Drosophila melanogaster: one gene and its partners. The protein of the gene in region 4 interacts with the protein of the main gene of each other region in a pairwise test. Each region holds a gene or a part of one and is shown on either strand. Other genes may lie near its edges.

Evidence for each region.
Region 1: the proteins of CG2926 (region 4) and CG3294 interact in a two-hybrid assay, tested with the Drosophila melanogaster proteins (one large-scale study listed by BioGRID).
Region 2: the proteins of CG2926 (region 4) and CG10654 interact in a two-hybrid assay, tested with the Drosophila melanogaster proteins (one large-scale study listed by BioGRID).
Region 3: the proteins of CG2926 (region 4) and CG5478 interact in a two-hybrid assay, tested with the Drosophila melanogaster proteins (one large-scale study listed by BioGRID).

The regions. Positions count from the first base shown.
Region 1 is NT_033779.5:4,792,421-4,798,246, reverse strand, and holds CG3294 (uncharacterized protein), read right to left. Parts: upstream 3,590-5,826; 5' UTR 3,576-3,589; coding exon 3,562-3,575; intron 3,495-3,561; coding exon 2,676-3,494; intron 2,405-2,675; coding exon 2,301-2,404; coding exon of another isoform or gene 2,293-2,300; exon of another isoform or gene 2,272-2,292; intron 2,185-2,271; coding exon 2,028-2,184; intron 1,961-2,027; coding exon 1,684-1,960; 3' UTR 1,666-1,683; downstream 1-1,665. Other genes in the region: slf (schlaff), read left to right, coding at 609-1,171; fipi (factor of interpulse interval), read left to right, coding at 4,567-4,609.
Region 2 is NT_037436.4:12,504,321-12,510,601, forward strand, and holds CG10654 (uncharacterized protein), read right to left. Parts: upstream 3,521-6,281; 5' UTR 3,391-3,520; coding exon 2,830-3,390; intron 2,168-2,829; coding exon 1,490-2,167; 3' UTR 1,054-1,489; downstream 1-1,053. Other genes in the region: vih (vihar), read left to right, coding at 226-332, 399-828; sti (sticky), read right to left, coding at 4,037-5,652, 5,709-5,904, 5,981-6,281.
Region 3 is NT_033777.3:15,932,200-15,937,144, reverse strand, and holds CG5478 (uncharacterized protein), read left to right. Parts: upstream 1-3,410; 5' UTR 3,411-3,458; coding exon 3,459-4,250; 3' UTR 4,251-4,445; downstream 4,446-4,945. Other genes in the region: Sap47 (Synapse-associated protein 47kD), read right to left, coding at 805-1,019; blp (black pearl), read right to left, coding at 2,508-2,770, 2,831-2,993; Fbxl7 (F-box and leucine-rich repeat protein 7), read right to left, coding at 4,642-4,945.
Region 4 is NT_033777.3:5,584,764-5,591,283, reverse strand, and holds the start of CG2926 (uncharacterized protein), read left to right. Parts: upstream 1-2,903; 5' UTR 2,904-3,466; coding exon 3,467-3,763; intron 3,764-3,832; coding exon 3,833-6,112; intron 6,113-6,448; coding exon of another isoform or gene 6,449-6,496; exon of another isoform or gene 6,497-6,504; intron 6,505-6,520. Other genes in the region: noi (noisette), read left to right, coding at 1-1,463; PolZ2 (DNA polymerase zeta subunit 2), read right to left, coding at 1,745-2,341.

The DNA of each region.
Region 1 (5,826 bases), on a different chromosome or scaffold from region 4:
GAGGATGGAGTTGTCAGGCGGGGGATCCCATTGTTTCCTCGAAAAAAAAAATAAGCTAAAAAGCAAATATATACGCGGGGAAGCTGAAAACCTTTTGACACCCAAGACAAAAGGAAAGCGGCGGCGTCGGCGGCAGGCGCAAAAAGAAGCATGCTGCATAAATTGCGCGGATTGCGTAACACGCCGCCACCGGGGAAGTTGTGTAAGGCCCGGGGCAGCTTCATCCACTGGCATCCACATTGGTATATATAGTATCTCTTGATTTTCGGCGCTACTCGCTTTCGGTTTCGTTTGCCCATGATGGGGCAGGCTGTGAGATATTGCACTGGGCCTCCGACTTCAGATGGAGATGGAGATGAAGATGAGGCTGCAGCGGCGCGGAAAACCGGTTGCCACATGCCACACCCACACGGGAAAAAAATTAGTTAATTCGGAAGCAAAGGAAAAATGCATCTAAGTTTGAATCTTAAAGTTCAAAGGTCTACTATTATTCAATAGTTAAATTATTTTTTATATATTTTGGAAAGCCATAACATACCCCTACTATTTTCTCAGTGCAAGCATGAAAACAGTTTCCGCTAACCGACTTTCTCCTCGCTGACCCGCAGGTCCCAAGGAGTTCTCCTACCGCGGCAAAAACATGTTCCTAACCACCCACGTGCCCGCGCTGGCCAACAAGAAGGTCGATTGGTTGGATGGTCGCAATCTGTGCCGCGAGTACTGCATGGATCTGGTCGCCCTGGAGACTCAGGAGAAGAACAATCTGATCTTCCGCGTGATCCAGCAGAACGATGTGCCGTACATCTGGACGGCCGGACGTATCTGTGACTTTGCTGGCTGCGAGAATCGTCCAGATTTGGAGCCCAAGACCGTCTATGGATGGTTCTGGTCCGCAACCCGCGAGAAGATCCAGGCCACCAACCGCATCCCACAGGGCTGGGGCTACAACCCATGGTCGCAGACTGGCCACAAGAAGCGCCCGCAGCCGGACAACGCCGAATACGACATCAACCAGACCAAGGAGCAGTGCCTGTCCGTGTTGAACAACGTGTACAACGATGGCATCGCCTGGCACGACGTGGCCTGCTACCACGAGAAGCCCGTCATCTGTGAGGACAACGAGGAGCTGCTGCGCTATGTGGCGGCCACGAATCCCGGCATCCGTCTATAGAGCGGCTCGCTGGGCGTTCGCTGTTTGCCTAATTTTAAAGCTACTTATTATAATATTCCTTAAACGAGTTTTTGTATAATTTTTGTTTGTATGTGTACGACGAAAACGGAAGAAAGCAAGACAAATAGACTTTAGAATTTACAATTTCCGATCCTACAAACACCACAAAACCACCCACCCACCAAATCCACAATACTGCTTTCATCACACCTTAGCACCCAGCACTTAGTCTCACTTCTCCTTCCTCCCTACCTTCGAAACTGCCAATTTTACGCGTAGAATTCTATTCCGTTGTAAACAGTTGAGTCGTTTTCAGATCGCACCTTAAATATTTATAGGCAATCCTAAATTGCAAGTGTTTCGCTCTGACCCACTGTCTGTCATTCAAGCAAGAAATTCGGAATCTCTTTAGTATTTTGTTTGAGACACTCATGTTTTGTCCACAAAGAGATTGAATAAAATTTTGTAAAGATCCCATAAAAAAGAAAACACTTGAATTAATACTTTGGTTTTTATTGGCAATGGTTGTGCTGATGATCGGGTGTTGTGGAGTTGTGATGATGATGATGCCTCTTTGATCTGCGATCGTCATGTGAAGATCCCGAGGAGCTGTGCTCTCTTTTAGAGCGCACGGAACTCCGGTCACTTCTTGACCTGGAATGATGATTCCGCTGTTGGTTGTTTTTGAGATCCCGACCTCGGTTGCCCAAGTCCTTGGAGTTTTCCAGTTCAACCTCGGGGCTTGCCGACCAGCGCCAGTTCCTGCCGTGCTCGCTGTGCTCATCCCAACTGAAGAGATAGGGAAAGTATTTAAATAGTTTGCCGGAATATAAACTAATATTATATTTAAATCCACCTGGGTGTCTTGGCCGTTGGAGTTTGGCTGGAGCGTCGTTCACTGCGTGGACCGCTGGTGTACTCCAGTTCCGTGTTGAACAGGTTGTTCGGATTGCCAAACAGGTGCAGATAGCCGCAGTCGTTACCTTTGGGACATTTACGTGTTAAGGACAAACCTTTAAGAAGTCACAGATTGTGTTAAAGAAAATGGTATTAAAACATATGAATGGGCTTGCTTTGAGTTTTGGTTTTTTAAAGGATACGGCTTCCTCTTGGCATGCAGTTCACGTACCGCAGACTGCGCCGCGCCAGGTCCTCAGATTGGAGAACTCCACGTTTAGTCGCTTGGAGGCGTAGTAGCGACCTTGGAGATTGGTAAATGCGCGAAGTGCAGATCTGAAATCATGACGTACGCTTTATAATAATTAGTTTATGACCTCTTTAGACATTATTAACATAACATAAAAGTATGCAAGCGCAGAGACAATACAATATATATATTTTTTGGCGAGAGAACAGGTATAAATTAAAATTGTGAATTATATGAATTAACTTTTACATGAAAATGCTGGGAAATAGGCTGCATTTGAATATCCGAATTGCTTGCATATAAACAATGTCATATTAATTAAATAATAATAATGATAATTAATACTCTCAGACAAACCGTTCGTTTGTGTACTCCACAAAGACGTGACCCCTGAGGTGTTCCAGCGTATTGCGCACCGTGCGGAAGTTGACAATGGTGCCGAACTTTCTCAGTTCTTCGACGACATCGTTGAAGAACTCATCGTAGTCGTGGCGCAGATCCTGTTCGGTCAATTCCAGGTGTTCCTCCGCCGAGGCGTACTCCTTGTGCGTGCATCGCTTCTGCAGCATGGAATGGTTGAAGAAGTGCCGGATGAGAAGGATCCTTCCCAGCATCGGGCGGCGATGGTTGAAGGTGCAGGCGTGACCGTAGCGGCAACAGTTGGTGCGGCTAAAGAACTCGCAGGCTCGTTCCTCCGGATGCGTCTCCATTACACGCAGAAGGTGGCTGGGTGGCTTCTCGATACGCGGGTTGTTCAGATACTCATCCATGCTCTCCATCATGGCATCGAATTCGGCGGCAGCCTTGGCGGCTTTTCGTGTCTCTTCCTCGCGCTGCTTCCGCTGTCTCTCCTCCCGTTCCGCCCGCTCTTTCGCCTGTTCCCGCTGCAAACGCTCCACTTCCTCCTGCTCCTGACGCTTCTTCGCCTCGTCCATTTGGAATTGTCGCTGCGCTGTGGCTTCGCGTCGCAGCCAGGACTCCTCCGCCAACTGGCGCTCCCGTTCGTCGGCTAGTCGTTGGAATTCCTGCATTTCCTCCTGTTCCTGCGACCATTTCTGGTACTCCGGCTGCATAAGTCTTTGGTTTTCCGCCTCTTCCTCCAGTTTATCACGTTCTTTGGCATGTTTTTGACGACGCCGCTTCCTCTGCTGCTTCTTGATTAACTTTCGCCGTGCCCTTTGTATAAATTATATACATTAAATTAAATTATACATTATATTTAAACAAATTTATAGTTATTTACTTCCTTCCCGGCATTTCGCAAAATCAAAACATTGAATTTCGGTGAGCAGCTGAAACGCATTTGTGAGAACACAGCTGATTAATACCGTGTACAGGGTCTATGAAAAATACCACAAAATACTGCAGCACGAAAAAAATTACATTTTTACATTTACATATTTTTCAAAGTTTTCATAAATCTGGCAAATCAAAAATGTTTTGTAAGTTTTCCCTCAAAATTAAGATTTCATATCATAAATGTTTAAAATTTACGAATTCTTACGATTTTTGTAATTCAAAATTTATTATAAATTATAACAGTCTAATATAACACCAAGTTTCGTTCTTGCTATAAAATGTAAAATAACATTGCTGTATAGCACAATGCCAAAAGCCTCAGTTCAACTTACACTGCTATAAATTATGTTATGTGATTTTTATAGCACTGTGTCGAAGAGCTTTTAAAATTTAATAGAAGCGCTTAGTTTGAATATTTTCTTGTTTATCAGATTTGTATATTTTGAATTGAACCGTTTATTCAAGCTTTTTCTCAATTCCCCCTTCCATCGAACCAGAAACTTTCGAACTCGAAAATTCCCCTCTGCAACAATGTTGCCAGCAACATTGTGTCCGGCGATTGCCGAAGATGCGAAAAAAAATCAAATTCAGTGATAAAGTAAAATTCGTGCGCGTCGGTTCACCTACACTTCGTGTCGCCAGAGAAAGCCTTTCTCCTGGCTTTCTCTCTGAGCTCTCCTTTTGCGCTCGGCTCCGAAATCCGAAGTCCGGAATTTGGACTCCGGCTCAAGCGCCGAATCGCCGAGCTTGGCTCACGGAAAACCAACTGAGTTGTGCGAAACTAAGTCAAAACAATTGATGTGAATTCTCGCGGCACAACTTGATATTAGATAAATGAAATAATTCGCGCCGCTGGCACTTTGAACTCGTAATCAGGTCGCAAGCATATTCACGGTTTTTTGTGTAGTAACCACAGGAATTCAAATTCATATTCGTTGAGATTCTCGCAATGCGGCTAATTGGATTTATTCTGAATTTGGCAGCCCTAACAGGTAAGTGGTTCTTACACTGGGAGAAAAAGAAAACAAATGTTATCTAAATACATAAAATAGCCTGATTCTAAAGCTAGCAATTAAGGGATATTTAGAAAACAATATTTTTGGATTTGATGCTATCAATCCATAGATGCTATATTAGTTGTAATAGTAGATTTTTGTAACCATCACTTATTGAAATGCAATTAAATAACTTAAATATAAACTTAAAGAAAGAAGAACATATATCGCAAATTAAAACAATATGTTCTTTACTTACAATTTTTTTCTGTACGCCTAAAAGGGGCATTTAATTTTCAATAATAAACGATTTGACCGCATTTGTTGCTCTAGTGTTACATTGGCTGAGGTGGTCATCGAGTTCTGGAGGGGATGTGGATGGGGATGAGGATGTGGCGACCTCTTCCGAGTTACGTTCTGCGTTTTATTTTCGGACCCATGAACGGTGTTTATTATGTTCTTGTCTGGTCGATGGACAGTTACGAGCTTTAGTAGTATTCATAATGTGGTTGTTGTGGTTTTCCGTCTTCCTCGTCGTCGTCGTGTCGTTACGTATTTATCAATATTTGCCCTCTGTATTTAGTTTTGTGGCTCAAGTGTCTCGTGGCTAATAGAAAATCGATGCTGGCACATTGTTGCACATTTCGCTGAAGTATCTCGAAGATACTGGGAAAGTATCTTGCCGCTTTGCAGCCCTTTTGCGCTGTTCTCACTGCTTTCTGTTGGATTTTTTGAAGTCGCTGTCAGTCAACGATGTTTGCTCTTAGTCTTTCGATCAATTTTCACTGCCTAAAAGCTGTCTGAGGGGTGTTAAGTCGCACTTGAATGGCATTTTCCATGGCCTGCCACATGCCTCTGATTTTCCATGGAACCATTTTCCCGTTTTCCCGTTTGCCATGGTCCTCGTCTCCGGACGACACTTCAATCTGCATGCCCCACATTTATGTGGCGCTGCGTTTTTGGGCTTCTCGTTGCTCGCTGCTCTTTGATTTCTTTCGTCCTTTTGGCCCGCACTCTGCTCACTTCGTCCTGCGTCCTTGCAAATATTTAATTTAAGCCTGCTGTCATCTCTCGCCGAAGGGTATCAACATTTGCTGTCGCCTCTTGTCGCGCAGTAAAGTGGCAACAATGGTTTTATTTATTTCAGCAAAGCATAAATGATTAATGTAATTTTCATTTGCTCAACAAATCTATTTATATGAATAAACTTCGCA
Region 2 (6,281 bases), on a different chromosome or scaffold from region 4:
TCCTTCCATTTTGTTTTCACACAAAAGTGAAAAAAAAAATATCTGAAAAAGCAACAGACGCGTATTCCGACCGATCAAACTAAATTTCCACTATACAGTACATATAATCACAATTGAGAATCGAAAACCCGACCGCCACGAAGCGCGCTAAATTACACGCACATACTGAAAGCCAAACAGCGGATAGCACTAGCATCCTACATATATAGACGTAGATATATAGTCATGGCGCAGAATATCAGCCCCGAGCAAAGTGGTGGAGCAGGCGGCGGCGGCAGCAAGCACAGCGATGACTCCATGCCCGTGAAAGACAATCACGCCGTGAGCAAAAGGTGAGTAGCACATGGTGCAGCCTAGATAATCCGCCAATATACACACACACTCACACTCACCCACAGACTGCACAAGGAACTGATGAACCTGATGATGGCCAACGAGAGGGGCATCTCAGCGTTTCCGGACGGCGAGAACATCTTCAAGTGGGTGGGCACCATAGCGGGTCCACGGAACACGGTGTATTCGGGGCAAACGTATCGTTTGTCACTGGATTTTCCCAATTCCTATCCGTATGCAGCACCCGTGGTGAAGTTCCTGACGTCCTGCTTCCATCCCAATGTTGATCTGCAGGGCGCCATCTGTTTGGACATACTGAAGGACAAATGGTCGGCCCTGTACGATGTGCGCACCATTCTGCTGTCCATACAATCCCTGCTGGGCGAACCGAACAACGAGAGTCCACTGAATGCGCAGGCCGCGATGATGTGGAATGACCAAAAGGAGTACAAAAAATATCTAGACGCCTTCTACGAGAAGCACAAGGACACCTAGAGTTTGGCAATTCGTTGTCATATATCCTATGCTCATATTGCGGCGTATTTATTTACATATAGTGCAAGCAACTCCACTCATCCGAAGACCTACTGCCAACCAACAAACCAATCATCAATCACCACCGTAACACAGTACCATCAGTTAAGTGGATCACCAGATCAATTTCAACAACGTTCAATGCTGATAGTTCATTTGGCAAAAGACCCCGTGCGTTTCTTATGTAATTGTCGATCGATTGACGGATAATCTGGTTTTTATTCTCATTTCTTTCCTCCTCCCTACAAATTAATGATAAATGAATGTATTGGTAATGTAATTTTAAAACTGTCATCCGTTCTTTAAGCTTAAGGATAAATTTTAGTTAATTGTTTTATATACGCATGATTACTTTTTTGAGAACTACTGCGAGTGCGCGCCATCGCCATCGCCATTTTTTTGTACTGATGATTTTTAAGCGACTATGCTGCTGCGCCGGCCATTATGTGAATGTTAGCTAATTTTAGGGCAGCCTCATCGATTCGTCAACCATTCGCGTCGTCTTAGTATCTCCAATTATGCGGCATTCTCCCACAATACTGGCATAACAAAATTCCAAGTAATTCGAATCATTGTAACAGTTGTGTTAGCTTGATGTTATTGAAACCACAAATAAAACGAATTATTGAACTACATCCATCGCTTTGTGTTTCCTCCCGTGAGCGTTGAGCTCCACGCTGTTCTGGAAAATGCGTCCGCATTTTCTGCATCTGAGCAGCAGATTCTTATTGCCGTGCTTGCGCAGCAGATGATCCACCATGTTCTCCTTGGTGTAGAATCTGCGATCGCAGCATTCGCAGCAGTATCTCCGACCCTCAACGCTACCATGGACCATCTTGTGGCGCGTTAGATGTGCCTTTCGCGCAAAGCACTTGCCACACTCCTCACAAATGTGCCGCGCATCCGGGGACTCTGACTCGTGATACCTTTCGTGCGTCCTTCTCATGTGATATTTGAGACTTCGGTTCGCTGTGTACACCTTGTTGCAGCTCGGACAGGCATAGATGATCCGCGCAGCGTCGGCATTGTTATGCATCTGCCGCAGGTGCGACTCCAGCAGATTGGCCCGGGCATAGCTCTTGGCACAATGGACGCAGGTATACGGTCTCAGACCCTCATGCTGCTGCATATGGGCCTCCAGCAGCGACGGTTTGTAGAAGCCACGGTGGCAAATTCGGCACTCGAGGGTGTGTCGCACTCCTCGTCGTTTTCTGGCACCCAGCAACTTGCTAGAAATGGATAGCTTCTCCTGGCCCAGATCCTGTTTGGCTGACTCGTCCTCTATTACGTAGACTTCCTCCTGGAAAATTTAGGGTATTATATATTTAATTACCATAGCAAACTGAATGGTGGTGGTTTTTTTTTTTTTTTGTGGGAATTCTGTACATATCTATTATGAAGGAATTTTTTATGTAAAAAGGGTCTAAGCATATAAAAACAAACTGCTTTTGGTTGAGTTAAGTAATTTGTAGTAAGGGTAGGAATTACATTATGTTTACTCATTACTTTAAAGTGGAAATTTTTCCTTAATTTGCTATTAAGATTATCTTATCGCTCGACTTAGAAGATGATAAAATGAAAGTAATATTTTGTGAACCGAACTTTTGGCGGTCACTTATCTGTTTAGTTTAGTTTTTTAATGCTAAAAATATTAAAGGCGCTATAAATAATATCTAAAATGAGTGAAAGTTAGGGAACACATTTATCTATTCTAGATAAAACTGGCCTTTAAAATCGACTTTCTTATTTGGAGGAGCCATAAATCGAGGCGTGTTGCCATCTTCCCAATTTTATTAGTGGAAAATTTAAAAATACCCAATAGATTGGGACGTGCCTCCTTTTCGAGTGCTATCACCCACCAAACAAAAATAGTACAACACAAACAAACGCTGTCGAAATGTTTTTGTTTATGGCGGGGAATGGGGAGCAGTATTGTCTTTGCTTGGCTGCTAGGCAACACACCTCGAGCGAAGCACCCAATGTGATTCTAGATAAGATTACGGCCAGAGGCAGGCACACTTGTGGCCAGATAAAACTCACAATCTCCTGCGTCGCTGCGATGCAGGGTGCGTGCGACTGGGCTTCCGGATTAGTGGACTCGTTGCTCTCCGAGGGGGTGTCCAAGTCGTGCCAAGTGTGGTCCTCCAGTTTGTGGCATCCGATGTCGATGTCCTGCAGCAGCTTCTCAAAATTGCGCAAGGACTCTGCGCACATGCGTTGAAAGTCGTGGAACTTTTGCACCAACTGATAGCAGCACTCGCAGATGCTTTTCAGCACCAACTGGGGTGGCAAATCCCTAACGGCATCCTCTCCAGTACAGCCGTAGTACTTGCTGGCCAGATCCTGTTCGCTGTCCAGATTGTGACACGCATCCTGCGGACCCAGTAGCACAAGACAAGCGCGGCATATCATCGTCTTGGCACCATCGCATCCATCCATGCCGGAGGTAGTGGTGGTGGTGGAATCGGCGACAATGCGACCCGCGCACAAACTCAGCTGGGAATCAAACATCGTTGCTGGCATCGTCGGGAGATTCAACGGGCCACTCAAATGGCGTGGAGCCAATTGAAATCAATTAACACAATCTGCGACGGCGGCAGTGCAGCAGTCCGGCGTCCAGCGGCCAAGCCAACGATGGCAGTAATGCCAGCGGAGAGCACGATTCCATTTCCGGGGCTTTCGAATTGCGGGACATTGAAAGCTGCTGCCGAAAAGCTGCGTGGGATCAGCCCCAAAAGCTTGGCGTCGACTCCATGCCCCCAACTATTCTATTCGAAAAGCTATCCTGCATAGTAAAATTGATTTAAAATATTATGCGACTTCTTTAATTAATTAAAAAATATTTCCTTTAATATGCTTCGATATTTTAGTGATCAAAATAAATATATTAATTTAATATGAATTACCTTTTTTATCAAAATCTCAAGTTTTATTTGTGTATACAGCACAAAGTATTTAAAGAGTAAATTAAGTAATTTTTAAAAGATTCTGCCATGTGATTTTAGGCAATCGTTACACATGAAAAAGATTGTGAAAAAACATATGTTCTGACAAGTTAAAATAATAATAATCCAAATGTATAGCATATCCTAACCCTAGATATAACTACAACTACTCAGTTTGTAGTATTTTGCTTTGTCCATTCGTTTAGTTAATATATATCCTTCATCTATATGCTATTTCCGGTGACAGTCGAGCCCAAAGTCACAGAAGTGGCCACTGAAGACAGCGTTTCCATGGAGATATTGAACTTCTGCTTGAATGCCTGCATCGTGTCCAGATGGTAGATCTTCTGTGTTCCATTGCAGGGCCTCTGATCGATGGCCACGGCATAGAGATTGACATCTCCGCTGTTGGCCAGCAGCGTGGACATGTAGTGGGGCAAGTAGACGCGCTGCAGTTCCGGGGATTCCGAATTCTCCGATGCGTTATCCCCGCTGGCCATTTCCTTGCTGAACGACCGATGCAAACGGACTATCTGCACGCTTTGATAGTGCGATATGAATAGGAATGGATCGCGGTAAACAAATCCAGTGGGTGCATAGACCCAGTTCAAATCGTACGGCCTGGATCTGCAGCCAAACTCGTCCACAAAGACGCCATATTCGGCAAAGCAGAGCAGATACTCTTGTCGTGAGATGCGCACCGCAGTTAGGGGCTGGCACTTGGCAGTGCTCTCCATTGACTTATCGGACAGATCCACAAACTCCTCAGCCGCATAGTTGTCCAAATCGATCTCGTAGAACTTATCCGAGCTAACAATGGCCGAGTGACGCGTAAAGAATATGGATGTGACCGGCGTGGCCGTGTCCAAGGCTCGAACTGGCTTAAACATGTGCAGCTTAAGGTCGTACTTCAAGATGACAATCCTAGTGGACGTGGCCGCAATAGCCACCGAATCCAATGCGTTCTCCGCCTCATCGGAGATCAGCACTAGTTTCCATTTCTCCGATGGCGTGCGATTGGCAAATGGCAGCTCAATGGCCGACGTTTCCAGCACAGGCTTGTGACACGAACTGGAGCTCTGACAGCGTGACTCCAGCTGGCGGTAGTCACATTGATATAGCTTCTCGCCAACTGTGCCCACCATTATAGCCTTAGCCAGGCGCTTGCAAATGGACATGCAGCTCACCGATTCGAGACCAGAAATGTGCACCAATCGCTGCGAGTCCAAGTGATACGCATACAGTCCCGTGTTACAGCCCAATAGGAGTATTTGCTGCTCGGCCACTTCAAAGGCGCAGTTCACTTCGATCTCCTTCCGTGCCTGATCTTCTGCACCATCCGAACTGTAGACCAGCGATCCAATGTACTCGCCACCGCTGGTTGTACCACCCGCAACATCTACGCTATCCAAAGTCAAGCTGGAGACAGATTGAATACTGCTAAGATCATCGGCTGACGGTGCAGTCGGCTTGGTGGATCCGCAATGGCTCTGAACATTGGAGCGACACTTGCGATGCGTAACATCTTTGCACTCCTTGCATTTCCAGAACGGCGAACCGGCAACGACGGCCTTTTCGCAAACTACACAGTTGACGGCATCCACCTTGGACTCCTGCAGGGCCAGTTCGAAACGGTGATGAGCCTGGTTCTCAATGGTTACTTTAGTCGGTTTCTCCGCCGTCGTCTTCAGCTCCACCTGGCTGGTGGTGCGCTTCAGGGGCTGCTGCTGCTTCTGTGGAGAACGTGGCAAGGCAGCAATGCTTACGGGTCTCTGTTTGGGTGCATCGGAGTCGCCATTAACAGCTGCAGATTTGCGTGGAGAGCGCAAGGTTGCAGTTCCTAAAGGAAATATACAATTAGATACAAACATCAAGCGAAATCTAAAGAAATCCCACCATTCAACTGAGCCAACTGCTCCTTCAGCAAGCTGTTCATCTTTTGTTCTCGCTTCAGTTCCTCCTTTAGAGCGCGATACAGAATGGAAGATTCCACGTCATTGGGTGACACGTTCTCCTTGTTTGTGTGGCTAGAACCGAAAAGTTTGTCCGCCAATGTCTTTTTCTTCTTGGCGGATAGGTCCTCAACTTTGAGCTAAAATATAAATACAAAAATGTTTTTAATCTCATTAACTATTCTCTTAAAAAGAATATATATAAACTAGCTATACCTGAAGGTAGTCAATCAGCTTTTTGTGCTGCGCAAGTGTGGCATTCGATTTAATGTCCCGCTGCACGTAGAACTGCTCCTTCTCGGCCAAAGTGTCCTGAAGGGAATCGATCTCTGCGTGCAAGTTGGCTTGCGCAGACTCCAAGCCCCTTATCTCCGCCTGAAGATTGCCAACCTCCTCCTTCTTGTGGAACAGCTCGCTGAGAATTCTAGCATTTTCCTCCTTCAAACTAACCATTTCGCGATTCGAATCCGCAGTTTGGGCTTCGTAATTGGCATTTTGCCCATCCAAAAGTTCAGCT
Region 3 (4,945 bases), about 10 Mb from region 4:
AGTACCCAGAAGAAGCGCGAAGGACGAGGTCAAATGATACGGCGAGGTCGAAAAGAAATAGGGCAGTCCTATCCACTCAGTTTGAGGGAAGTAAAAGAAAAGAAACCAGTCGGAAGTTAGTAAGCATGGAGTTGCTCTTTTCCGTTTGCTGACAGTTCAAGGAATTTCCTTTGGTCAACAAAATTAGGGCAAATAAATTCGCTTGGAGAATTACACTACTGACAGTCTACCATACTAAGTAATACATATATGCCAAGCTGAGAGACTCTTTTGAAGACTGATTTATGCTATATTCTATAACGATTCAAATATTTCAACAATTAAAAAGAAATACAGTCTTCACAATGCGATTTGCCATTTCAAGAATAATCAAACGAAATCCATTTAAACCACAAATTGGCCTGGCATTTTCAAATCGAAATTGCTAGCCAGAAATGTTCAGGAAAGTCAGTCGACTAGCTTCGCAAGGAAGCGGAGCCATATAGGATATATATGGGAGTGAAATTATCGGGCATTTGGATTCCAGTTTAAGCAATTATGTTCAGTCACGTGAGAGCGTGCGGAATGCAACGTAAAATGCAGGATAAGCGGAGTGTGTCAAAACAATGATGAATGTACCGTAAAGGAGCGATTGCTGGAGGGTAGGAACTCCACGGAGCGAAATGTTAAAAGGTACAAATAGCAAGGTCACATTGGCACGCCATGTCAGGTCGACTGAAGTCTGGATTTCGGAGTCACAGTCACGGAAGACTAGAAAGATGGGCCGAAGGATTACCCAGCGCGCATTGTTCGATTCACACTTACCTTTTGCCAGCTTCCTCGCCCTCGAGTCCTTCGCCACCGGCTGCGGCAGCTGCCTCCGGGTCCACGGCGGAGGAGGCCGTGGCCTCCACGGATGTGGATGCTGCTGGAGCGGCTGCGGGCGCATCTCCTGTGGGCGCGGGCACATCCTCGTCGCCAGCGCCTCCTTTAACGGCGCCCACCAGCGAGGTGAATTGATTTGTTAGGCCCGAAAACATGTTGGCTCCTGCTGTTTCTCTCAAGGATTGGTGGTGTGTCCTGACCAGGAAGACGTGCGCACGTTCAACGCTCTCTAGGCTCTCTTGTTCTCGCGGTTCTCACGGTTTTCCACTGCTCTCCCGCTCCTGGCTCTCCAACTTTTACTACACTGGGCAGAGGCAGATAGAATGTCCTGTAATGGGTTTTCCTTTCTTTCAGTGTTTCGTTCGCACCACAGAAGTTTCACTTTCAACGCTCGGCGTTATGTAAATTCTCGCATTTAACTTGAAATTTGAATTTTTCACGCTGCAATTGCTTTGTCCAGATGGCCGAGATGGAAGGTAAAAGAATGGTTTTTATTGCTACTTGGCGAGGCGGTGGGGAAAATCAATAAAACGGACTGGGAATTGCGTGGCTATTGGGCACAATTACACGATAAATACTCTGCGATTCGATCGATTTTCCACATGGACACACGCCACGCTCGAGTTTCTTTTCTTTTTGGGTTTATAGCTATTCGCTATTTGCACAACTAAAGTAATTTGAGTCGCAGCCAATTACCACTTGAGCTTTTCTCTGCCAACTGGATTTTGCTTTTCTTATTTTTTTTCTCTTTGGTTTTCCGTTCGCTGCCAGGAGACTTTTGGATTTTCGGCTGCCCACTTCGAAGGTCCTCTGAAAACTGACGGAGCAGCGGAATGTCGATGTCTCAAATACCGAGCTGGAGTGTCGTCTTCGCTCTCTTGGACTCGGGGATTGGGGATTCTCAGATTCGGATTCTCGTATGCGTACGTTCGCTTTCTCCCTGGAAAAGTGGAGTCCACCCCCTCCTCCGCGTTGCTGGGGCGATGGTATTGCGATTTTCGTGGGTGGGATATTTGTGCGCTGGAATGCGCATGTGTGCTTTGGCGTCGTTTTGCTGCTGCTGGCGCAATTAGACAAACAATTGACACGTCTATGGAAACAACAACTGCGCACCAGTAATGATTATTTTCGGTTTGTTCTCGGCCAGTGCTGCCCATCGAACAGCTGACTGCTGTCGGTCGATAGCTCTACCGATATGTTCGCGCATCTCTGGCTTCTGCAACAGCTGATTTTAAAATTTCCAAGTTCCTATTGCGAAAGTTTGGAAGCCCATTGCAGCATTAGTTTATTTACATCAGCATAATTTTAGCTATAGCTAGATCAAGACATGGAACTTTGTTGATACTTAAAATATTTTTATTTTCAAACCCCAAGAAGCGTGATCTTAAAATCGATCCGATTCTAGTTACCTGGCCTGAGAGTAAAATATTTATACCTAACCGCCTGAGCTAATCCGTGTTAGTTTACAAGAATTCCATTACATTTGTGTTCCTGGAAAGTCGAGCTCTTCTCAGAAAGTGTTTACACTTGTCTTCATGTTCGTAAATCTCTATTTACAGCAACAGACTTTCATTTTTTGTACTTAACACGTAGTTTTTAAATCAATTATCAGCTAATTAGTTCGATTGGGACAACAAGGATACTCAGCGTCGCTGCCGCGATCTGCTCTGAGACTCCTCCGCCGTATCTTGCGCTGCTTCCGTATTTGACGACCTCGGCTGCTCATGGGCCTTAATCTCATGGTCCAGCCGCTCTTTCGCCCGGAAAACCTTTGACTGGATATAGAAGGAGCCGCCTTTGGAGCGTTCGTTGACTTGAAACAGATGCTCGTAGTTCTTGGTGATAGCGTCCACGTTTTTGGGGTCATCTATATTCAGGATCTGCTTGGCTTCCTCCAGCGTCATGCCTGCATTGATAAGTAGGTGTAAATAGTGAAATAGATAGCATGACTGTGTCCAAGACTCACCTGTGCGCAGGTTGGACTCGGCGCTCTTGTCGCCCTGCTTGCCACCACCCGCCCGTCGTGCTGCTTCCTGAGATGCGGCGATCTCCTGGCGCAGCGCCTTGGTAAAGGCTCTTCCCACTGCCTGGGCGCCCAACACGATGATCTGGGCGATATACTTGGCCATGACGGTTTCTTGTATTCCTTGGATTCGTACGTCAAAACACCGGCATTCTATGTGTACAGCTTAATTTTGGGTCTCAGAAAACGTGTCGCTTTAATTACGCAACACCGTAGTGACCCTCCGTGTTCCAATTGTACTATTTAAAAGGCGTCCTTCTAAAAAAATGCATACGTAACTTTTAACACTTAATTTCGAATGTGATTTATAATTGTATTGAGCTACCAGGTAAATTTTAGCTTTTACTCCAGATATTTACTAACGAGCAGGCGGCGAAAAGCAGGTGAAACAGCTGATTGGAGATGGTACACGGCTTTCATAATTAGCTATCGATATATATAATAGCTATATCATCGAGAATCGAAATATTTTTAAAACCAATTATTTAAATATTTTTACCACGACTACTTTGTCATCGATAGCATTTGTCAGTTATCGTTTTTAAAAATTCGAAATTCCCTAGTTAAGCCAATGATTCAGGAACCGAACTGGAAAAAGGACTACGACCGTCTGGTCCGCGAGCATTTGAATGATCAGAATCAGACGAAGTCGCTACAACGACAAATACGGCATTTTCGCTCAAAGCGCGTACGACTCCAGAATGAAATCGAGGCGGAGAGCAGGAGCATGGACGTTTGGGTAAAGATGATGGAGAACTTGCACCGCGGAGTGGAGCGCTTTCAGAAGCACCACCACCTGCTCACGCCCAAAAAGCGCAAGCAGCTGCGCCGCATAATGCGAAAGCTGCCCTTGAGCAGTTTGGATGAGCAGGTGCGACTGATGGAGGTGTCGGAGCGGTTGGTGCCCAAGCCGTGCAAGGAGACTCCTGAACCACCGAAGGGCAACGAACGCCAGTTCATCAAGTACTCAGTTCCGCATCAGAAAAAGAACTGTGATCCTAATAATCAATCCCCCGTGGACAAACGGCTGGCCAGGATATATGCCAATCTGAAGGCTCTGCTAAAAATCCACGAGCAGACCTCGTCCGTCATCGCTGATATACATTCCCTGATCGCCACTATTAACTATTTGGAGCGGGGGCACTGCACCAAGATAAAGATCACTCCAGCGGAGGGCTCCAGGCCGTCAATAAAGGCTACCATCGAATTGGATCGGCTGCGCAAGACCAAGCACGGCAACCACTACACGCGGGAAATTATGGACGTACGTCCTCCGTACATCCTTGACCATGTGCCGCAATTGAAACCAAACATTTTCGACGCTCTGGGGAGAAAGGCGAAAAAATCAAAATCCAAGCACTGAACCGTTTCTGGTGGGGAAAATAATTTATTACTCCAAGAATTAGTCTACTTAGACATAGTCTACTGAACATGCTCTATGCTACGCTAGTTCTGTCCTGCGTCAGTTTGATATATACAATTTACAATAATCTCATTTAGCTCGGGCAAAGTGGTGGCTGATTACAGAGAACAATTTAAATTATATCCAAACCAATAGATTATATCGGTTAATCATTGAACTAAGACTTGGGGACTTGAGGACCCAAAAGTCCGTGTATGGCTAAAATTTGCCTGCCACTTCATCAACTATTTTGTTTTTCAAGAGTTTTCTTTGCCCATAAATTCCCTTTATATCTGTGCTCATATGGCCTGCCTCTGTGCTTTGTGGTGTCTACCGCCGGCTATGGAACATCTCAACAGAATCCCGGATTTGTGTGTTCGATGATGCAGCGCTTGCAGTACTTCTTGACCGCCCGGTAGCCCTCGATGGAAACCGGACAGTCCTGGATATTCAGTTGCTGGAGACCGCGACAATAATATGCGATACACTGCACCCCGCGGTCCGTGATCATGTCGCAGCTGCGCAGGCTGAGCTTCTTCAGGTTCGGACAGCTCTCGGCCAGAGCTCGAAGCCCCGCGTCGCTCACATCGCACTTCCCGATGTCCAAGGCTCGCAGACGTGGACAGGATCTCGCCAGGACCGTAATGGAGTCATCG
Region 4 (6,520 bases):
GCCTGGTCAAACTGATGGTGGACGAGCATGCGACCAAAAAGCCGGGCGAAAAGGAGCGCATCCATTCGGAGCACCGGCTTAAATACCTCATGGAACTGCATCACAACTCTACGTCCCAGCTACGCGATCTCTACGAGGACAAGGACAATGAACGAAAGGCGGAGATTGCCGCTCTTTCGGGGCCCAACGAGTTCAATGAGTTCTACGCCCGCCTCAAGCAAATCAAGCAGTTCTACAAGTCCCATCCGGCGGAGGTCAGCGTGCCGCTGTCCGTCGAGTTCGACGAGATGATTCGGGTGTACAACAATCCGGACGACATGAGTGCCCTAGTGGAGTTCACTGACGAGGAGGGCGGCGGTCGCTATCTGGACCTCAACGAGTGCTACGAGCTGTACCTCAACTTGCGGTCGGTGGAGAAACTGGACTATATCACTTACCTTATGTCCTTTGACCACGTCTTCGATATTCCGAGAGAGCGCAAGAACCGCGAGTACCGCATATACATAGAGACCCTCAACGACTACCTGCACCACTTCATCCTCCGAATCCAGCCCTTGCTCGACCTGGAGGGCGAACTGCTAAAGGTGGAACTTGACTTCCAGCGCCAGTGGCTGATGGGCACATTTCCGGGTTTTTCGATTAAGGAAACTGAGTCGGCGTTGGCCAACACCGGCGCCCACCTTGATCTATCCGCCTTCTCCAGCTGGGAGGAGCTGGCCTCGCTAGGACTGGATCGTCTAAAGTCGGCTTTGGTGGCTCTGGGTCTTAAGTGCGGCGGCACCCTGGAGGAGCGAGCACAGCGTTTATTCTCTACAAAAGGTAAAAGCACCTTGGATCCCGCACTGATGGCCAAGAAGCCCAGCGCAAAGACTGCTAGTGCCCAGTCACGGGAGCACGAACGCCACAAGGAGATTGCCCAGCTAGAGGCTCTGCTCTACAAATACGCGGATCTGTTGTCTGAGCAGAGAGCGGCTACCAAGGAGAATGTGCAGAGAAAACAGGCTCGGACTGGTGGCGAGCGGGACGATAGCGATGTGGAGGCCAGCGAGTCGGACAACGAAGATGATCCCGACGCGGACGACGTTCCGTACAATCCCAAGAACTTGCCGCTCGGATGGGACGGTAAACCTATCCCCTACTGGTTGTATAAACTGCATGGCCTGAATATTAGCTATAATTGCGAGATATGTGGAAACTTCACCTACAAGGGTCCTAAGGCTTTTCAACGACACTTCGCCGAGTGGCGGCATGCGCACGGCATGCGATGCCTCGGCATTCCGAACACCGCCCATTTCGCCAATGTCACCCAGATCGAGGACGCAATCACGTTGTGGGAAAAACTCAAGTCGCAAAAGCAGAGCGAGCGCTGGGTAGCCGATCAGGAGGAAGAGTTCGAGGACTCGCTGGGAAACGTTGTCAACCGAAAGACGTTCGAGGATCTAAAACGCCAGGGTCTACTTTAGAGGACAAGCCTACGATTATGGTCGCTTGAGTACCGGTCAATTCTATATGACGCTTCCTCTAAAACCTCAACAGTCTTTATAATTCAAAACGGAATGACACTAAAATTGGTTTTATTTAAGGAATCTAATGTTAAGCCATAAAACCATTGGGCGTCCTTTTATTCATTAAAGAAAGACCATGGATCAGCCAACGATTCATGATTAGAATCAATTGTAGTTTAAAATAAACCCAACGTCGTGTAGTTTTCGATAAAATGGATAACAGTTTTAGGAATATAACATTAATTAACGATGAGGACATCCATTTTCAGTCCCAAATCATCTACCCTAGCCAAAGGAAGGAGGTAAACGGTTCGCCCTGTCGCTTGGGATTCAGTTTTTTGGGTCTGAAGCCAGGGAAACTCCTGGTACTGGGAGTCATGGCTGAAGCGGATGAATGCCTCCTGGGTAGTGTGCAGATGCACCTTAAACTGACAACTTCCGGCGGGCAGTTTAGGCGCCTGGTTTAAGCGCTGAGAGATTTTGTAGATGACAGAGCGCATGTTCTGCTCGAACTCCATCAAATGATCCTCTGCCGGTAGGCCACTCCTCTGGGTTTCTAGTTGCATTTTATAGCTCTCCAACTTCTCATTCTCCTTCTGATACACTATTAGCTCCAGGCACTGCAGCTCCCGGCGGCGAAGAAGTTCTTGTGCGGATTTTAGGACGCCGGCCAGGTAGTTATTAAGCGGTGGAAATATGGACACATAGATGGGCGAGTTGTACATCCGCTTCATTTTAAAAATGTGCGAGGGGTATATACCGCGCACGTATAGAATGTGATTCACTAGCACCTCCATCGCCTCCACGATGATGTCGGCCTTAATCTCCGCCTGCATTTCGCAAGCAAGCGCAACTAAGTTCACAGATGATTGTTTATTTTTTAGATTTAAGCTCCGTTCATTAGGGGTGGTTCACTAAAAAAAACAATGAATCGATATGGCGCGACATCATAGGTTACTAGATTACACAGATTATCTTTTTTAAATTGCTTTTCTATTTCTCGAAAGCCATATTCGTAAATTAAACCGTTGATATATAAAATTATAAATTATTAAATGTATCAAACTAATTGCATCTGTTTGGTCATTCAAATCGACATTTTAACAATCGATATTTTCAACGTTATCTGTTTATTATTTCAAAAACTTTAAGAAGGTAACATAAAGAAATTGATTTATGTTTATATTTAAATCTTTTAGTTTTTCATTATTTTAGTACTTTTTTGCAATCATAATTATTTTGCGTACTGTCCAGGAGCATTTTGTAGTAAGATTCAGTTTAAACAGAATTTAAAGAAGTGACATTTGGAGTAGAGAAACCAATACAATTCTTATTGAAACCGAATAATCTATACCCTTTCGATTTAAACAACATAAGGCGCCTATCGCCGTCTAAATGAAATCGTCTGTGGCACAAAAATATCGAAAGCGCTCGCTGACGTTAACCCACCTCTAGCTGAAAAAATGGCTGAAATCCAAGTGTGTGTGTAAAGGAAACTGTGTGTGAAAAATTTGAGTTTGTTACCAATTTGGAAATACCGACGTTGGGGCTACAAAATACAGGAGCATTGCCCACTGGCCACAGCATCTGCCCTTTAAACGAGTCATCACGGAAGCTGTTGAGCGATAAACGCCAGGCGGAGTTCCCGAAAATTGGCAATTGATGCCACTCACGGAAATCGGCACTCGGCACCCTGCACCCTGCACTTTTCGGTCACAGCGGCCTGCAATTACAGACAAGCCAGGCCGAAAGGCGACTACGCGGACTCCGGCTGGGCATCGTATCGAAAATGTGGCTACCAGGCCGAGAGCAGAGACTAGCAAGAACGAATAACTAGATGCAAATCGTGCAAATAGCACTCCCTATATGTAATATATATGTAATACACACGCGCCTGCCCTGCCGACAGTGTACACACAACAATATATCGGCTTGATACACACATACGCAGTTGCATCAGCATGTCCGACCGTGATTCCGATGCCGTATCCGACGCTGGTCCTCGCCTGAGTCAGCAGCGCGGGCAGCGGAACCGGCGCATCATAATGCGGATCGAGTTCAAGGACTCGGAGGATTCGGCGTCGGATCAAGACCGGGATGACCGCCCCTCCTGCTCCGCGGCGACGCGCCTGAGACGCAGCACCCGTCGACAGGAGGTGGCTTCGCATTCGGATTCCGACTCCGTGCCCCGGAAGTCTACGCGGAAGCTGCGCAATCGCTACGGGCCGCGGAGCGATTGCTCATCCAGCGGCAGCGATGTAAGGCATTAAAGTTGTAACCACTTCCCAGCGGCATCACCTATTAATGCACTACTTCATTCATTCCAGATCGATCAACTGCCGACGAGAACCAGAAAACGAAAGAAGGTAGAGTCCTCCGATGAGGAGGAGCCCGAGCGGACGCCCAACGCGGTTGGAAGAATCCAACCCATGCCCGCTGACCCCGACGACGGCTTCAGTTCCGACATCAGCAGTAACGATCTGCTGGAGAAGTGCCCCATTTGCTTGCTCACTTTCCGGCAGCAGGAGATTGGTACGCCAGCAACATGCGAGCACATATTCTGCGCGGCCTGCATCGACGCCTGGTCCCGAAATGTCCAAACTTGTCCCATTGATCGCATTGAATTTGACCGGATTATCGTGCGGGACTCGTACGCTAGTCGCCGGGTGGTGAGAGAAGTGAGGTTGGACCTGAGTAAGTCCAATACTGAATTGGTGGTAGATGACGAGGCAGACACCGCTGCGCTTTCCGAAGAGGAGGTCACCAACTGCGAAATCTGCGAAAGTCCGGATCGGGAGGATGTAATGTTGTTGTGCGATAGCTGCAATCAGGGATACCACATGGACTGCCTAGACCCGCCGCTGTACGAGATCCCAGCTGGGTCGTGGTATTGCGACAACTGTATTGACTCCGACGACGAGGATGATAATGAGCAGCTGGAGCTGGCTGACGACTTGGATCAGCTATACGAGGATATTAGAGGTATGGGCTTGCCGGAGACTCGTCTCAGGGTACGTGAGGTGCAGGAACCGCCAAGAATCCTGCGCACCCGTCAAAACGAACGCATAAGGGCTGCTGTACTGCGACGTACTCGCTCGGGCGCTACGTCGGCGGAAGATTCCACACTGACCCGGACTCGTACCCGCACCACCACCACAACAACAACCACTACTACAACTACTCGGCGCACAACCACAAGCACGAAAAAAAGACCTGTTCAGCGGCGGCGACGGAGAAGGACTCGCTATCGCACCTACGTGGTCGAGTACGATCTAAACAACTTTGACGAAAAGTTCGCCCTTAAAACCAGCAAGAAAGTGATAAGACGGCGTAGGCGTCGGCGTCGTCGTGGAGTCGCCACTGCCTCTAGTGAGGGGCCTGGTCGACGTCTTTCAGCCAGCAAGCGACTTGCAGAGCAGATGGGAGTAAAATCGGAAGGATTTCAAAGTTCTCATCTAAGTGGTGGAACAGCCTCCAGTTTCTCGCTATTTGGCAATGCGAACGACCTGGAGTATTTCTCCGATAGTGAGCCAGACGCAGTGAGCCAGATCAGTTCTGCTGGACTCGGATCGACTGCAGTGCAAACCTCAGTGCGCATTGGAAGCATTGGAGCACCGCGCATCCGTAAAGCCTTGCTCCAAGGCAAGGCGCGCATAGCAGCGCCGCCCACAGCTCCGACTTCAGCTCCCGCTGCAGACATACTGTCTAGCATTTTGGATTTGCAGGATCGCTGGCACGATGCTTCACGTAACCTAGGCGAAGTGCATATTAGGGCGGACGGTACCCTCAATATTCCCCAGAGACCTGCACCTACAGCGACGGAAGCGCCTTTACCGAAAGCAGGTACTTCTAAGACCGAGAAGCATTTAACCCAGGCACCGCTTTACCAACAGGGAGGAGGAGGACCTAACTACAACAGAGGCGGAGGAGCAGGCTCAAGTGATAGTTACAACAATCGTTACAGCGGCAATACCAGTTACCGCGGAGGTGGTGGAGGCGGCGCTGGAGGATCTAGCGGTGGTAGTGGTGTGCCCAGCAGTAGCGGGGAAGCTTCCTCGCGACACTTGACCGGTGAAGGAGACGGCCAAGGAGGCGGTGGCTTTGGCAACCAAAACTTTAGCAGCTCCGGCTCCAACAACAACACTAATATGTCAAGCTTTATTCCGTTCCATCTGCGATTCAACACGCCCACCCGCCAGCAGCAACCACGACAGCAAAACGTGCTGCCAGCTAACCAACCCACCCCGCCTTTCCCTGGAAGTGCACCGCCTCCAGCCCCAGTAGCGTCGTCATCAAACAATTTTTCGGGACAGACTCCAATGTTTGCAGCTCCCCTCAATCATCATCCTGCACCAGTGATGGGTATGCCAGTTGTGCTGTCCATACCACCTCCGCCTATGCCACCTGCCAGCCTTCCATGGAACAGTCCTCTCTTCAAGATAACCCCACTCCAGCAAGCACCGGCCAAATCCAACGATGGCAACCAAAACGACGATGTTGACAACTGCCCAAACTTCTCAATTTACTCGCAGGAGTCGCAGGCGGTTGCTAATGCCTCGGCGATGCCGTCAGGGGTTCCACACGGACCAGCGGATGCATCTGATAAGGTATGATATCTATGGGGTTTTCAGAATCTAGAGATATTTAACATGAATAATAGTAGGAGTATTTAGTATACGGAACCGAAGATTTTAATGTTGATTTAGGTAATTATCAAACAAATTAAGCGAGGTAAAGAAAAAAGTGATTTTGATATCAGCTTTGGTGATGAAAAATGTTTGAAGTGGGTAGTTATTAACTTTATTACCAGTAATAAAAGGCAAAATTATGCAAACAAAAAAGCATATTTAAAATTATATAGGTAAGTAATGGGTACATCATTATTCTCGCCATAATCTTCCGAAACAAAAAGATACACAAATGTATAACATTTTAATTTTCAGTTTTTAAAACCAAATATAATGTTATTGAAACCAAAGCAAGCAATATAATTAGTTAAGTAAGTCACGTTTGAT